2 linked regions of the Styela clava genome follow. The protein of the gene in region 1 purifies or fractionates together with the protein of each later gene. This does not show direct contact. Links are inferred from orthologs where the notes say so. Each region holds a gene or a part of one and is shown on either strand. Other genes may lie near its edges.

Evidence for each region.
Region 2: the proteins of RILP-like protein 1 (region 1) and ras-related protein Rab-10-like purify together in Homo sapiens (co-immunoprecipitation; 3 studies listed by BioGRID and IntAct, with this or other methods). This does not show direct contact. The link is inferred for Styela clava from reciprocal best matches to the Homo sapiens genes RILPL1 and RAB10.

The regions. Positions count from the first base shown.
Region 1 is NC_135253.1:320,376-328,118, reverse strand, and holds the start of RILP-like protein 1, read left to right. Parts: upstream 1-4,486; 5' UTR 4,487-4,553; coding exon 4,554-4,628; intron 4,629-5,029; coding exon 5,030-5,150; intron 5,151-5,346; coding exon 5,347-5,510; intron 5,511-5,866; coding exon 5,867-5,989; intron 5,990-6,156; coding exon 6,157-6,294; intron 6,295-6,708; coding exon 6,709-6,866; intron 6,867-7,743. Other genes in the region: inhibitor of apoptosis protein-like, read left to right, coding at 1,131-3,476. UniProt on the Homo sapiens protein: Plays a role in the regulation of cell shape and polarity. Plays a role in cellular protein transport, including protein transport away from primary cilia.
Region 2 is NC_135264.1:13,765,859-13,774,100, forward strand, and holds the start of ras-related protein Rab-10-like, read left to right. Parts: upstream 1-5,052; 5' UTR 5,053-5,193; coding exon 5,194-5,320; intron 5,321-6,521; coding exon 6,522-6,582; intron 6,583-7,402; coding exon 7,403-7,541; intron 7,542-8,242. Other genes in the region: C-Jun-amino-terminal kinase-interacting protein 4-like, read left to right, coding at 1-1,336. UniProt on the Homo sapiens protein: The small GTPases Rab are key regulators of intracellular membrane trafficking, from the formation of transport vesicles to their fusion with membranes.

The sequences.
Region 1 (7,743 bases):
CTGGCAGAACATTTTCCACATGGATATGGTTGGCTTTAGGGTTAGGGTTAGGTAAAAGAGGACCTCCAGAAGTATGTGCACCAAGATGGCGCACAACCTGAAAATAGTATGTGTGTGTGTGTGTAGCGGATTCAGGTTGTGCGACATATTGCTGCACATACTTCTGGAGCACCAAAAAGGTAGATAAAATTTCGCATGATGACCTATAATCCGGTACATAACCTTGTAAATATGCCGGAAATAGCGCCATAAAACCATGGCGAGAGGCTCCGTGGTTCTTTCGTGGCAGGAGGTGGTAATGACTGCGTCTCCTGTTTTGCGCTGTTTCCCTCTGTTTTGCGCTGGTTTCCTTCTGTTTCGCGCTATTTTGTGCTGTTTCGCGCTCTTTTGCACTGTTCTGCGCTCTTTGCGGTGTTTTGCGCTGTATTCAGTAAGTAGTAAGACCCATAAAATTGTAAACAACATGAGGAATGGAAATAGAATTGTGTTTTTTTGTGATGGTACTTTAGACAGTTAGAAGGAGCCTGTTCTGTTCTAATACTCGGATACTGTAATATGCATTGTAAGATATTATCCAATAACAGAATAACATAAAAATTTTAAATTAGGCTGTCACATGACCAAAATTGCTGTTATTAGCTAAAAACTTTCGGATGCTACGGTAATTTTATTTTTCCTTTGGTAAATAGGATTATTTTTTCTCAAGGAATTCAATTACTATTCAATTACATTACTAGATTGCGCTTTTTTGTAGTATTTTGCGCAACATCATTATACTGTATTATTACCGATATTGAGGGACAACAATGTACAGACGTATCCCAAAGGAGGTGTGTCTGATCATCTGTAAAATGGGTTTCTCTGAAACGGGACAATGTCACCCGATTTGTATAGTGTGCCATATGTTTTCTGTTAAAGTAAACCCTAGAATTAGATATATTCGTGGAAATGGCTTATGTCAGTATGTTACTTGTGGGATAAGTTAGTTTAACTTGGGATACTGATACTTTTAGCAGAACCATAAAAGTACTGTACCACAGTCCACAGTACGATTTATTATCATCAAGATTTCTTTTTTCTGTTTATCAGTAATCCAGTAGTGTGATGGTTTAACATTATTAAATGATAAAATGGATATTGATAGCAACTTTGATTTGGAAGATCGTATAAACACTTTTTCTCAGTGTTCCTCTATACTGAACATCAATGAAAATAAACTTGCGAAACATGGGTTTGCTTACAACACAACTCTAAATTGTACTGTATGTGTTGGATGTAAGAAAACTATATCTGGATGGACAAGGACAGATCAGCCCTGCAATATGAGATTTCATGAATTAGGATGCAAATTTGCACAAAGACTATCAAATGCTACTCATACTAATACCTCAGCACATGAAGGCTCACCGTGTACAAATCAATCCATTGGTGCAACATGTAGTAGTAGTAGCAATCAGAAAAAATTTAAACATTCTTCACCATCATATAAGTCTGAGGAAGGTCACCCAATGGCCTGTTCGCTTATTCCAATAAATCCTGAGCATACAATTGATCATCGATGGAACAGACAAGTGAAAAGTTTACCATACATGATTACAAATAATCCTGCAATTGAGGAGAGGATGGAAGTAGAGTTTCCAACTGAAATGAATCCATTATTAAACCAAAGTTATTCAAACTCGTCCTGTTCTCGTGAAATTTCTCTATCTCAGGCTTCAACTTCAAGGGAGCCAAGACATTCCAGGCCACTCAATTCAAACGAATTGACTGCTTTTCTTGCAGTTCATGATATGAAAATAGCAAAACACAGATTAGAAACTTTCAAAAGGTTTTGGTCAAGAAATATCGTTTTCAAGAATGTTCGATTGCTTGTTATATGCGGGTTTTTCTGTCTTGGTCAAGATGATGCAGTAGAATGTTTTTCATGTCGTTTGATTCTCGCAAACTGGAGTAGGGACGATAATCCACAAAGCAGGCATAGACAACTTTCACCTCATTGTAGATTTATCAGAGGTGAGGATTGTGGTGCTATCCCACTTCCTCCACAAGTACGTGAATCCGATCCATCGATTGGACCACAATCAAGAAGATTGTTACATTCAACTCAAACTCATATTACTCAATCTCCAGAATTTATATGTGAACGACAAGAATTGCTCCAGCTACCAGCATTGCATCTGAATCCACCATTGGCGGCCATTGAGAGGACAAATCTGTTATTGGAGTTTCCATGTATTAACCCAGCTAATCCGGCAATGAGAGAAGAACGAGCGAGGCTCAGAACACTAGAGAATCCTGAATTTCGTAGAAGAACTAGACTTCGTGCATCGAATGAAAGGCTTGCTCAAGCAGGAATGTACTATGTTGGTGATGGTGACAGAACAAAGTGCTGGTTCTGTGATGGGGGATTGAAAGATTATTTGCCTGAAGATGATCCGTGGGTAGAACATACAAAGTATTTCCCACAGTGTGAATATCTTTTACAGCAGCGTGGACCGGGTTGGGTCAATGAAATATCTGCTCAAAATCCTGATGTTGCCAGACCGATTCTTCCAGTGAGAGAAAGACATATTTTACCAAATGCTTCACATGGTTCACAGTCACCTTCATCTGAGGTATCAACTACACAACATTCTTCTGCTTTATCGCTTTCAGGTGAAAATCCTCAACAGCGATTGTTGCATCAAGCAATGCAATCACAAGCTGTTCAAATTGCACGTAGCATGGGATTTTCTGAACAGCAAATTAGGGAAACACAATTGACAAATATCAATATTAATGGAACAATTTTTCAGACAGCTGAATCGTTAGTTGATGCATTGCTGCATTGCAATGGTGCAACAGATCAAGAGACAAGTAGTGGGTCTTCAGTTCAAGGAATTAGCTGTTCTACTGTACAGATTACTCCACAAGGCACTGTGTTAAATTTACCTGACCAAACCATTCACATTGTTGGTGGAAATATTACTGCAAGATCCAATATTTCTGTACCATCATCTCATTCACATAATAGTCCTGCTTTCTCCGAAGCTGGTCCATCCAATAGCAACAACAGTGTATTGGTAAATGGAATGCCTGTAAATCAATATATGAATCATGTATCTCATGCTCCAAGGAATATTCAAATTGAAGAAGGTGCCGGGTCAAACCCAGCACCTCCTTCTGGCAATGGTTTAGCAGCTCTTGGATTGGACCTTCCTTTATCCTCCCCAATGCGTCGCATGACAAGACGACCGACAACAAATACTGTCACTGCTCCTAGAACAACATCACCTTCCACATCTGGCAATTCTACTCAGAGACTGGCAGAGTTGGAGAGAGAGAGAACTTGTAAGATATGTCTCACACTACCAGCAGATATTCTGTTTCAACCTTGTGGTCATATATGTTCTTGTGCTACTTGTGCTAGAAGGCTTTACAACTGCCCAGTTTGTAGGAGAGCAATCAACAGATTTATTAGAACTTATCATTCTTAAAAAAACAATATAACATTAGTAGAGTAGATGTTTGGAATTGTCATTCCTTTATAGTTCTCCTTTTACGTTTTGAAACATGGCCAGGCAGTTTTTGTTAACTAATTAATATCTTACACCAACTGTTAAATGTATTTTGACAAGTAAAGAAAGATTATAATCTTGTTATGTGATACTTTTTGAAAATATTGGTGTTTAAAATGTCACTCTTTATTACATGTATGTGTAAAGTGAATTAATATGCCTTAATTAATATATGAATGTAGTATCAAGGTTATCAATGTATGAATCACCATTGGCAAAATATATTATAATAATTAACTATTTTGTGATTGCTATAAATTTATCAAAGCCATTAAACTGTTCATACACTTTCTTGTTGAGTCGTTCATTGTTTTTTTATGCCTTGATAGTTCAATTAAATGAAATGATTTTTTGACGTATCTCAATAATGGATATAATTGTTCCAACTTATGTATGATTATTGAATATCATGATCTGAATATTTGTATGCTGTTTAATCAATGATTTTTCTATGAATTTAATTTGTTTAAATATTTGTTGCCTTTAATCTTAGATAACATTTTTGTTCTCATTGTCTTCATTTATATAGGTGATGCAGGGTCAAAAACATGCTCATTATAAGGGTTATTTCTGTGTTAGAATATGTTTATAGAATTAGTTTCTTTCACAATTACTTTTTTATTGCATCAATTAAACCTATTTTGTTCATGAAATATGAGCATAATGATATTTAGATATTAGCTTTTTACAATATGTTATCCCAATATAAGAAGCCTGGTGATTATCCATTTCTTTAAATGCTTCAGTGTTGTTTTGACCCATAGTTATTTCAACCCATGTGTTATCTAAAACACTACGACTTTTCTTTATTATTCATATCTTTATTGCCTTGGTTACAAATAAATTCATTTTTGTTTTCCATTTTTTTAAAATTAATATCATGTTACATCGGCTTGATTATATTTCAGATGTGCATTCACGTAACATAAGTATAATTATATAGTGCTCAAATAGTTGTTTCAAATTTTATGGCAGTTATATTTTAATGGCATAAAAATGGCAACTAACAATGAAACAATATTATCTTCTTCACAACTTGATCTTGAAAGTGATGATGGAATGGAAATACCAGTGAGTGACAGCAGAAATTATTAATCTTGCTACAATATCTCAATCTAAAATATGACTACGGAGTCTCAGAGTTTGTGTTTATTGGTTTTATATTTGGGACAGTTGAAGTCTTATTTTTAAACTCTTTAGTCTAGGAAGTTAAATATGAATTTTCAACAGAAACTAAAGAGTTTGTAGGTAGTTTTTTGTTGTCAACATTTGGATATCATGAATTCGGTAGCTGGAATTGGTATTTTTTTAATCTGGAAGTTGTTTTTATCAAAGTGTCAGACAAAGCTCTTGTTCAATATTATACACCTGGTTTGAATTAAGTTATAATCAAAAACGGAAGAAACAATACTTGAAGTTTGGGTCCTACTGGCTGTATACATAGCCTATTGACTCTTAATTTCAATTTTTAGATCAATGTGAATGATGCTGAAATATTCCAAAAAGACATCAACACTCTTACAGTTGCGGATGTTTATAATATTGCTTCAAGTGTTGGAAGGGAATTTGAGAAACTCACGGATGCTTTTGGAGGTACGCATCATGCCTATGGGGTAACATAACAACTTGTTATTATGAAATTTTTTTATGTATAAAATATCAGTTCTGGGAAACTGTTCATCATTTAGTTCCTATATATTTATTATAATTAGCACACCATATAGATTGTATTGAATATAACAGGTTTACATGGCACTGTTTTCAATTTGAGCATTCTCCATTTCTACAGGGGCTATATTTTCCGACGTAATGCCAAAAATGATCAGAGTGTTGGAAATGTTGGAAGCTTTTGCAGCAAAATCTCAAAATATTTCCACAGATGTGGTTGAACTTCAGGTATCAGTTCAAAAATTACAAGCTGAAGAAAAAACAAATGTTACTAAATATAAAGAGGTAATATAATATGGTTACATTTGATGATCATGATGGGCTTTTGATGATCATGCCACTAACATCAATATAATGGTCCCTGCCTCTTGGTTACTGGTCTGCCTGTTTTTAATCAGCCATAAATAATCAGCAAGATAGTTGATAACCATCATGAAGAAGGCACATTTTTTGTAGATTTTTCAAAACTCCAATCCAGTCTTTATTAGCAGCTAAATTTTCAGAGAGTTTACATTTGAATGCAATGTTAGAAAACAAATTAGAATTATTTCAACATGACTGCTGGTGCCAACCAAAAAAATAATTTTTCTTAGTTTGCTCTGAATTCAGATATAATATTTCTAATGTATTTATCATGTTAGGATTTGGATATGGTAGAAACTGCTTGGCGAGAAGAAACAAGACAGTTGCTTCAATCTGTTGAGACTTTGCAAGAAGATAACAAAAAACTCACGCAGCTTCTAACTGAAAAACTGGAAGTACCGGTACTGCTTGTTTTATTGTGATCTTCTGTGGGCTTTATTAATGTTAATTTTCCTAATTTTAAAAATATTTACTACATAAGTACGTAGTATATCCTGATTTAAAATATTCTTAATTAATATGTTGTATATTAATGTGTTTAAAGTAATTGATTCACATGTTATTCCAGGCGCCTGTGGATTCTCAAAACAACAGTGACCAACAAGTTTCTGTTTTATCAATGCTTGAAGAGTCGGTTGAGAAAAAAAGAGATGAAATTCGCGAAAAAAACCTGCAGATCAAACAACAAAGTGCAGAATGTGAAGCGGTTAGTATTGATCAAGGCAATTTATGTACTGTAAACCATCACCAGGAATAAAATTTTAAAAAAATTTGCAGCTTTGGAGGAATATGTAGCAGCAGTTTTTATATCAATGTTTTGTATAAAATGAATCACTTGAAGGTAAGTCTCATGTCAAACATACCTAGTTCTAATGCTCCTTCCTCTGTTTTGGCACAAAATACTATTGTATAATCTGGCATTTGGTGAATACCTCACTATTTGAAAATTTTTAATGGTAAAGGTGAAACTTAAATCTTTTCTTGATATTTCTTTTCTACTACATTTTTAATCAGGCTTTACAATCACCACGAAAGTTTGAAAATTGAATAAAAATCATTTTTGTCTACCTGATTGTACATATGTGTCAATGTTTTATCACAATACCTCACATTTATTTAGTTATCTTCACAAGCGCAACAACTATCAAAGTTGAATGTTAATTTGCGGCGCAAAGTTGCAGTAATGGAACAACAAGCTTCAATCCTGGCAAGTCAAAATACTGATTTGGAAACTATTTGTAAGGAAAAAGATCGTCAAATCAAAGAATTACGAAAGAGGTAGTTATTATATTCAAGTCGAGAAATGAAATTTTCTTGACTTGTCATCTTTTCGCCAAAATTAGAGTTACTTTCTTGCTATGGATCTTGATCCTTTGTAAGTTGTTAGTTAAGTTCAAAATGAATGGAATTGAATGAATTATTTTATTTATGAAAATCAATAGGTTGCATTGTTTTAATACAATACAATACGTGCCAAAAGTAGCACACTGGGAATAGGTAAGTTGCCTGTCCTGACTGATTTTTAATGAAGAGCATTTGTTTTGTAAGCAGCACAGAAGTTATTAAATTAATTGTGCAAGTTTAGGCAAAATTCAGTCCTTCAGTCTACTTTTGTGAGTGATTTTTGGCAATAATTGATATTTTTCATCACATCCTTATTTATATTGTATGTAAATGCTGAGGAAATCCTATTCATGTATTTGCAAATTTGAATGATAGAAGATTTCTCAGTATTATTTTAGGCTCTTCCAAACTTGGTGATATCCAAATTTAAAGCATTGGTCTTTTTGTTAAGTGTTGTTTATTGATTTTATTTGAGTGTACTAGTGGGTGGTATTATGTTTATGAAAATGTGTACAGTTAGGTGGGCTAAAAGATTGAAATATTTGATCTGAATGAAGCATCTTCAACCACGTACAGTCTCTTTAATTGCCTATCAAATAGACCAGGGCTTCCCAAACTTTTGAGCTTGTGGCCCCTTTCGATATTTTAAAATTTTTTGCGATGTTTTTGCCCTGTTCACGTTGGGAATGCTAAACAGTTTGAAATATGCATTTTTGATATTTTATTGATACAGTGAATTTTCATCTTTTAGTAGGCCTATTCGATAACAAAAACAAACATGCATTTATTCAGATGAACCTCACTCATCAGT
Region 2 (8,242 bases), on another chromosome or scaffold:
AAAGGAATATACAGAACTTCATCAACGACATTCTGAAATGATTCGTTCCTATGTAGAACACATTGAAAAAACAAAAACTCTCCAACAACACCTTACTCCAGATTCTATTTCTTATTCCCCAATTCCTAAAAAGCATTTACCAGACAGTTTTGCCACGATTTCACCGTTGTCACCCGAAACACCGTCTTCGAGACAATTAGATTCAACTCCTGTTCAAGAAAATAGCGAACCCATAGAGGCAGCACGAACAAGACGGCTTGAATGGCAAGAGGGTATTGATCCATTTCATCCTAACATTAAGCAAGAAATAATTGAAACAATAAATAAAGAAGACGCTTTATCTAAAGAAGAAAAACTTGAAAATTTACCCATAGTCAAAGAAGATTTAAACAGCGATAGAACAAGCCTGGAATCAAACAGCAGCGGTCTCGATTCTGGCAACTTATTGAGCCACGAGTTCCAACAAAGCGTTCTTAAAATGGGGTTAAATGTGGACGCGTCTACTCCTCTTCATGGAGAGGGAGATGCTTCTTCTTTAACAAGACATCAGCAAAGTTTAGGAAAGATAGGAATTGAAAATGAAGCTTTCGAACACGGAGTCACAGCAAATCACGAATCGTTGTATATAGAAATGTGTGATAAAGATCTAGGAGATGTTGATGACGGTGCAGATATATTAGGAATGGGGAAAGAGTTAGAAAACTTAATGCTTGAAAATACTAAACTTATGGCGACAAAAAATGCACTTGATATTGTTAAAGATGATTTGATTCATCAAGTAGATCAACTTACTAATCAATTAACAATGATTCAAGAAGATCTAGAAAGGGCTCACCAGTCGAAAGAAATTCTCTCAAGACAAGTTTCTGAATTACAAACAGAGGTGAAACGACTTGAAAAAATAAACAAGGAAGCGGGAAATTCACCCTCAGGCCAAACCCCTGTTACACCCATTGGTGAAGATGATCTCACCTCTGCGCAACGGAAACGTTTCACAAGAGTTGAAATGTCGAGAGTTTTGATGGAACGAAATCAATACAAAGAAAGATTAATGGAATTACAAGAAGCCGTTAGGTGGACGGAAATGTTACGGGCATCTCGTGATCACCCAGCCGAATGGATGCCGCCCCCTTCAAAGGAAAAAAGTGGGTCTTCGATTTCACGCTTTTTTAGTCGTCTGTTTGGTCCCAGTACATCCACAACGTCTTCAGCAAATGTTTCACCTTCAAGGCAACGTATGAAGAAATCATCGTCGTCGTCCGTAGCGGAAGACGCAAAAATGCGACATAGTTTATCGGACTCGTTCACAACAGCACAATCAAATATGGGAAAGTAGCAGAATATGGCAAGATAGCATAATTTTCAATTTCACAAAAACTTTAATTTCGGTTCTTAAACATTGATTTCAAAATGTATGGAATATCTTTTCAAATGGACTATGACACATTTTTCCAGAAATATTTTCGAATGGTTTTCTTAGAACTTTAGTTTCAGTATTAGTAATCTAGGACACTCTGCACACAAGTTATGATCTCTCTGGAATATGTAAGTATTTAAAATCCATTTCTGGTGTCTATAAATTACCTGGAAAGCGGAATGGACTGGTACATAAATAATGTCCTTATTAATACACTCATTATAGGGACGGGTTCCAGTGTCTTTCACTTTTTATTCTAGATATTGAATACCTGAAGAGGCAACATACAAGACAACTTAATGTGAGATCTGTGAGCAAAGTACGACCTAAGCTATACTCATTATTTTAACTATGTTGAAATACATATTTTCACTGCTGTTTTTGTATGCTTATGTCGTACAATAATACCAACTTGACATTTGAAATCGAAAACTTTTTAAAAGACAAGTCGTGCCAGATTTCGAAGTGTTCTAGGATATTGCCGTCTAAAGGTTTATTATATTATTAATATTGTACTTCCTTCTTATTGCCCGTTCTTGCAATCTCTGGAATTTTCAAGAACAATTGGGCTTATATAGTATGTATTATTGCATATTGCGTAACCTTGCTTCATGTTCAAATCCGTGTATATTATTAATATTGTAAAGGTGTGTTAATCTTGCTATATAGGTAATCGATAAAGAAATTGGATGAACATGTTATGAACTATGTTCCTTTTTATATTGATCTTTATCCTGAGATTTATTAATAGTGTTTATATCATCGTAAAAATAATTGTTATTAATTAACAGTCAAATGTTGCCGATCAAATTATATCTTCATGTCACTGTGTATTTACTTTGAAGTATATTTGCTTTGAAATTTTGTCAATTTTGTTGAAAATGTTGTCATAGAATGGTAAAGAAAATTCTTTATATTAGTACCGCAGGTTTTTCTTTCGAATTATGGAAACTGACTATGCTTCTTTATTAGTTTAAATTTTTTCATTTAAATCATGCAAACGATTGTACAATTTTTTGTAGGGGTTTTGTTAAGGTTATTTTGTGCACATAAAAATTATCCTGAGGGTAGGAAAATTCGAATATTATAAGTTGTATGCCTTATTTCATTTGCGTAAATGCTTCATTGTTATCTGTATTTCAGTAGAAGCCTTGCTTCGGCCATTTCACTAAGACTTATTTAACTGTTAAAGCTGAATAGTAATAGCAGATACCACCATTTGAAATTCCAGATTTTTACCATTTCGTGAGTGTTACCAAATCAGTGTAAGAAATGTTCTTTCTACATACTGTTTATTAGATATGGCATACAACATCAACAAACATTTTTCAATTTCATTTTGATATTTTAGCATAGTCAATATGAATATGCTATATATGGTGCTGTTGTAGGTACAGAATTTTATTGCTTAATTATCAATCTTCTGTTGAAGATTATGAATATTTACACATTGCTGGTGCTTTTCTTTGTATAATAATGTTGTTATTGTGCTATGTGCAATCCCTAATCTGTCTTTATTTATGTATAATCTCTGAAGACACAGGTCATCTTTGGCCAGTGCAACTGCAAGTATAATTATTTAGATTGACATGGAAATGCCACTCAATAGAAAAGTTTGTTTATATTTTTAAATGATCCTGATAATGAAAATCCAAATTTTTGCGTCAGATACGGAACAATAGGATGCATCTTGGCTTTATTTTGATGATGGTGGCTCTCAGTACTGGTTTCAAATCTTATAAATTTGATCGTTTGTCTTGAAAAAAGTTGGTCGGAAAAGGTTTTACTGTGACCCCCATTTAGCCTATTTGCAACCCATGGGGTGCAGGAGGCCTAGTTTGAAGATTTGTTTGGGACATCCCGGGTCTAGTGTTTCCTTTTCATTTATGATATACTGTTTTGTTTTGCCGTCCTGTTACTGTGTCATTTTACTTGATATGTTACAAACACATTGATAATTAATCAATTTTCTTTCATTATTGATACTGTGTTCTATAGTTCCATCATCCTTACTATAATTGTTGTTCTGCTTCAAGATGGATGTTGTTGTTGTTTACTGTTTATAAATTTTTAATTATAGGATTGTCAGTATATTCGTGGGAAATGAAGAATTATAACAATCTAAATAAGGCATAGACAACATTTAAAAATAAATTTATCAGAATTACTCTTTTTTTCAATTTTTGGTCGTTTTGTCAAGAAATTATGATTTATGCCAATACTATTTTTTTTCAATTTTTAATTGTTTTGTTAAGAAATGATTATTAATGCTAACTTCAGCATACATACTATACTATAGTGTTCATGAACATTTGAAAATTGAAATCTTTGCATAAAAAGAGTTCTAGAATTTTAAACTATCATTCTTTTTTTCTGAGCCAAAGTAAATCAAAGAATCGATGATCGTAAGGATGTTTATTCATGACCAATCTTGAATAATTTTTTATTCATCTCCCTTTATTGGCCATACTTAGCCAATGATAGTTTGTGTGACTCAATGTTGCTCAAGAAACGCCTGCTGCAGTTTGAAAAACTTTTTTTGTGAAAAAGGATGCCATTGTTGTGAAATGAGCAGCAAGAATTATGTTTTGTTGTTTTGACAAAAATCAATAATATGAATTGAGCTCATGATTATTGTCTCATGAAGTTTGTGCTTTACTTGTTTCATGTTGTAGAATTTTGGTGAATTACTCAAATCTTTCAAGTTAGTATTAATAGCTCATTGATTTCATAACCTTTTTTCATGAATTTTTGATATTTTATGGATTTTGAAATGCTTTGAATTCATCTATCCGCTTGATAAATTTTGAATTTTGTAAAATCCCCAAATATTGTACGAAGCCATTCAATTTCATGTCTATTCTTATTAATGCCATATGATGTTCTAGTTTTTTTTACTGGAATATAGTGATTCGATTTAATTGAAAAGTTTCCAAATTTGGTTAAAGTTTCATCCTTATCTATATATTTGATACAATTGATGGCAAACTGAAATTTTTATTTTCAATAATGAACAATCACATCAATAATGCATAATCTGCATTCAAAGTATTTTTTGTCCCCTGTATTTCTTTTACCACATAATTTTGGTTCACATTAAAATTAAAATATTATGTTACATTTGTGATTAGAGGATAGAATCCATATTCAATTATAGTAAAGAAATATGCATATAGAAAAGTAATTTTACGACAACAGTTAATAATGACGTATGAGAAAAACTGGAAATTGTCAATGTTTTTGTTGATATTTTTAAATGTGTTTACGAATACACATTTCTGGTTTGTCCTTTATCAAAATCAGATACGTGAGGATGTCCATATGAAGATCGCAAGAACACTTACCCAATAAAGTTTAGCCGAACATCTTCAGAAAATACAGTAATTTAGTTGAAATATGTTAATTCTGAACTATTTATTTTGATTTTGATTCAAATGCTTCAAACGCTAATAAGGAATCACTACCTAAATTTTTATTTCTATCCAGATTGCCACTATGTTTAAAAATCTAGAAAAAAAATTTTTTATGTCAAAAATATTATTTTTGTTAATAGCATTATGCATGCTTTACAAGTAAAATATTTGTCTTCATTTTTTTGTGCTATATTTTATCCTCATATTATTGTATTTGCATCTAAAATACAGATTCTGATTAACTGCAATAGTAAAAGTAAGGTATATATTACCATATCCAGTTCGGTAACGAAAATAAACAAATAAGATATTACTTATTGTACAATAACCTGCTATTGTACACTCATCCACGAAGACCATAAAATGGCCAAGAAGACGTATGATTTATTGTTTAAGTTACTTCTTATTGGTGATTCAGGGGTCGGAAAGACTTGCGTCCTGTTTCGATTTTCTGATGACGCATTCAACACAACTTTTATTTCAACCATAGGTGAGTTCACCAGATTCCTTTTTGCTTTTTAATCTCTTTCAAGCACGGCTGCACTTTAAGATTTTAAGTCTTGTGATTGTCTTATTTCAAAAGCATTCAGTTCATGGATTTTTTCTTTACAATAGAGCCATGGATAAAAATAGTCCAGTTTGAAACGAAATCATTGTATGTTGAAATGTAAAATAAATATAAAATAAAATGTAAATGGAAAATATTTCATAATACTCAAATTATGGTAAAAAATAGATTTTTAAATGAATATTCTGGTCTCCGAATGGACCAATGTGATTTCTTCCAATTTCGAATACCACACATTGTGTTAAGATACATGGTAAAATCATGAGATATACATCGTAAAATAAATGTTATATAAATTAGTGATATCGTTTGGGCAATATCCTAACAAAAATATGTTGTAGAATATCTCGAATTACGGAAAAACCTATTTTTAATTGCCATCAGTTTCAATTGTTATTGTATGAAGAAATTCCAAATCAATGATGGAAGCAAAAGGTTTTGTTACATACATTCTGTATAGAGTTATTGGCAAGTTATGACAAGTCACGATTTTGCTGACATTGCGTTGCCCATATTGGTCATTTGACCTTCTTGCGTTATATTTGAGCATTGCTCACTTGTTTTTAGTTGTGCGGGTAACAGTCTAATTTTGCATATTGGGGGATAATTTGCTTAGATATTGTGTTGTATTGTCTAATTGTTATATAATAAAATTATTCATTATAAGTTCTATTATCCTCGTATGATTACCGGTAGATGATGTTTCCTTGCTAAAACTGAAATGTCATCTTAGCTTACTAGAAACTGTACACCAGTGGTTCCCAACCTTTTTTGTTAAATTCTCCCTTTCCCTATTTTGAAATCTTCATTCCTCCCTCCCCATGCATAAAACTCAACTTTATTTGTCAAATCTTTATTAATGGATTCTTTACTAGTGTTATGCACAAGTCGAGCTCCCGTTTTTGTACAGTTTAAGTAGATTAATATGTTTTCAAGAATAAGTATTATAGTAATAATAAAAAACTAAATAATAATAATATAACTACATCCAATACAGAGCAAACTTTACTCCTTGGAAGGGTATTACTGATTGAGTAATACTGATTGAAGTTGTGTGAAAGATAAAAAAAAAAATTGGTACCGGTATATGAAAGAATTTTAAAATAATTTTTCTTTGTTTTAGGTATTGATTTCAAAATCAAGACAGTTGAATTAAATGGTAAAAAGATTAAACTGCAGATATGGTGAGTCAGTGGGAATAATTAAACATTTCCATATTCTGAATCAAGCTTAAAACACAGATAAATCGTTCATTAACTGCTAAAATCATATGCAACCAACCTGGACCGAGTTATATTTAAAGTATTAATAAAGTTTTTTCATGCAATTATCATACTCTACGATCCATGATAAATCAGTACCGGCACTATTCTTTTATACACAAACCATCATCTTACGCAATGAACTGAAAGCAATTATAACGAGCATTCTATAGCAACTTCAATCAGAGGCACAGCCAGGATATTTTGAGGGGGATTAGAACAGTACTGTTGTTTGTTGAGCTTTGTATGGTTCACTTCTTAAAAAACGTTGCGCCCTATATATGAATAGAAAAACAATCTAAGCAATTTATTGACTGTGCGCCTTGTGGTTCGAAAAATATGGTTTGTGAATTGTAGGCTTATCTATTCCAATTCCATTGTATATATCAGAAGACTCACAACATTGACTCATTTCCATTCATCGATTTTGGCAATGACTTTTATCATTGATACATTGTATAATGCGACGACAGTTTGACATTGTCAATTTACTATTATATGTTACCAATGTGAATAAAGTTGATAGATTTTATCAAATTTTAATTAATGCACACTAATTTAAGGATGACCGAAACCGAATTAATTAGTATTCCGAATACATCCTAAAATATTCTTTTCGGGTATGAAATATTGAATGTGTAGTGTATTCGGAAATGGTCTGGAATTTATATACTTACTAATACGCTTTTCATTTCTTTTTGTTATGTAATTATTTGCGTTTGAAGTATAAATTTCATTTCAGGGATACTGCTGGCCAAGAGAGATTCCATACAATCACCACCTCATATTACAGAGGGGCAAATGGAATCATGCTCGTCTACGATATTACCAATCCGAAAAGTTTTGACAATATATCAAAATGGTTACGGAATATTGAGGAGGTGTGCTTTCTTTTATTTATAGAAATACGCAAGGCGTAGTAGGCTAGAGTCTAATGTTTAATATTCCATTGATTTTATCGCTGTATAACAGTTAGAATCGGGGCTTTGGGGTCAGAAAAAATCCACCCAACTCCAAACCTGTTGCCACTTTTAATTTGACTCCTACTCTTGACTCTAGGTTAACAAAAATTCCGACTCCGGCTTTCCGCACCATGTTGCGGAAACCATGTTTCCAACCCCGCCCAAATGTCTGAGAAAACCAAATTTTGGTAACTAGAACTGTCCCTTTTTTTAATGGCCTGTCGAGTTTGAGAATGCTTTGGCAACTCAATGCTTTTTGAATTTAATTAGTATCCTGGTTTGTCCCGTAATCATCATGATTCTGAATAAATAAAACATATTTACTCGTTTTCAAGGAGTTTGAATTGACTTCAAATTTAATACAAACGTGTCAAATTCCAGATCTTCAACCCTGTTTATTGAGTATTCTTTGATCATTGATGAATGGTCTATTTATTCATTCATCATACTGCGTTAAATGTCGATTTCACAAATTCAATATGGACAATATTTATATTATTGAAAGATTTATCTATGCTTTATACCTATTAGAGACTTAGAGAGAATTTCGAACTTCAGAGATATAATTCAAAAAATGTTGAAAGTTTTTTTCTGCTAGGCATGAGGTACTAATAAAGAGT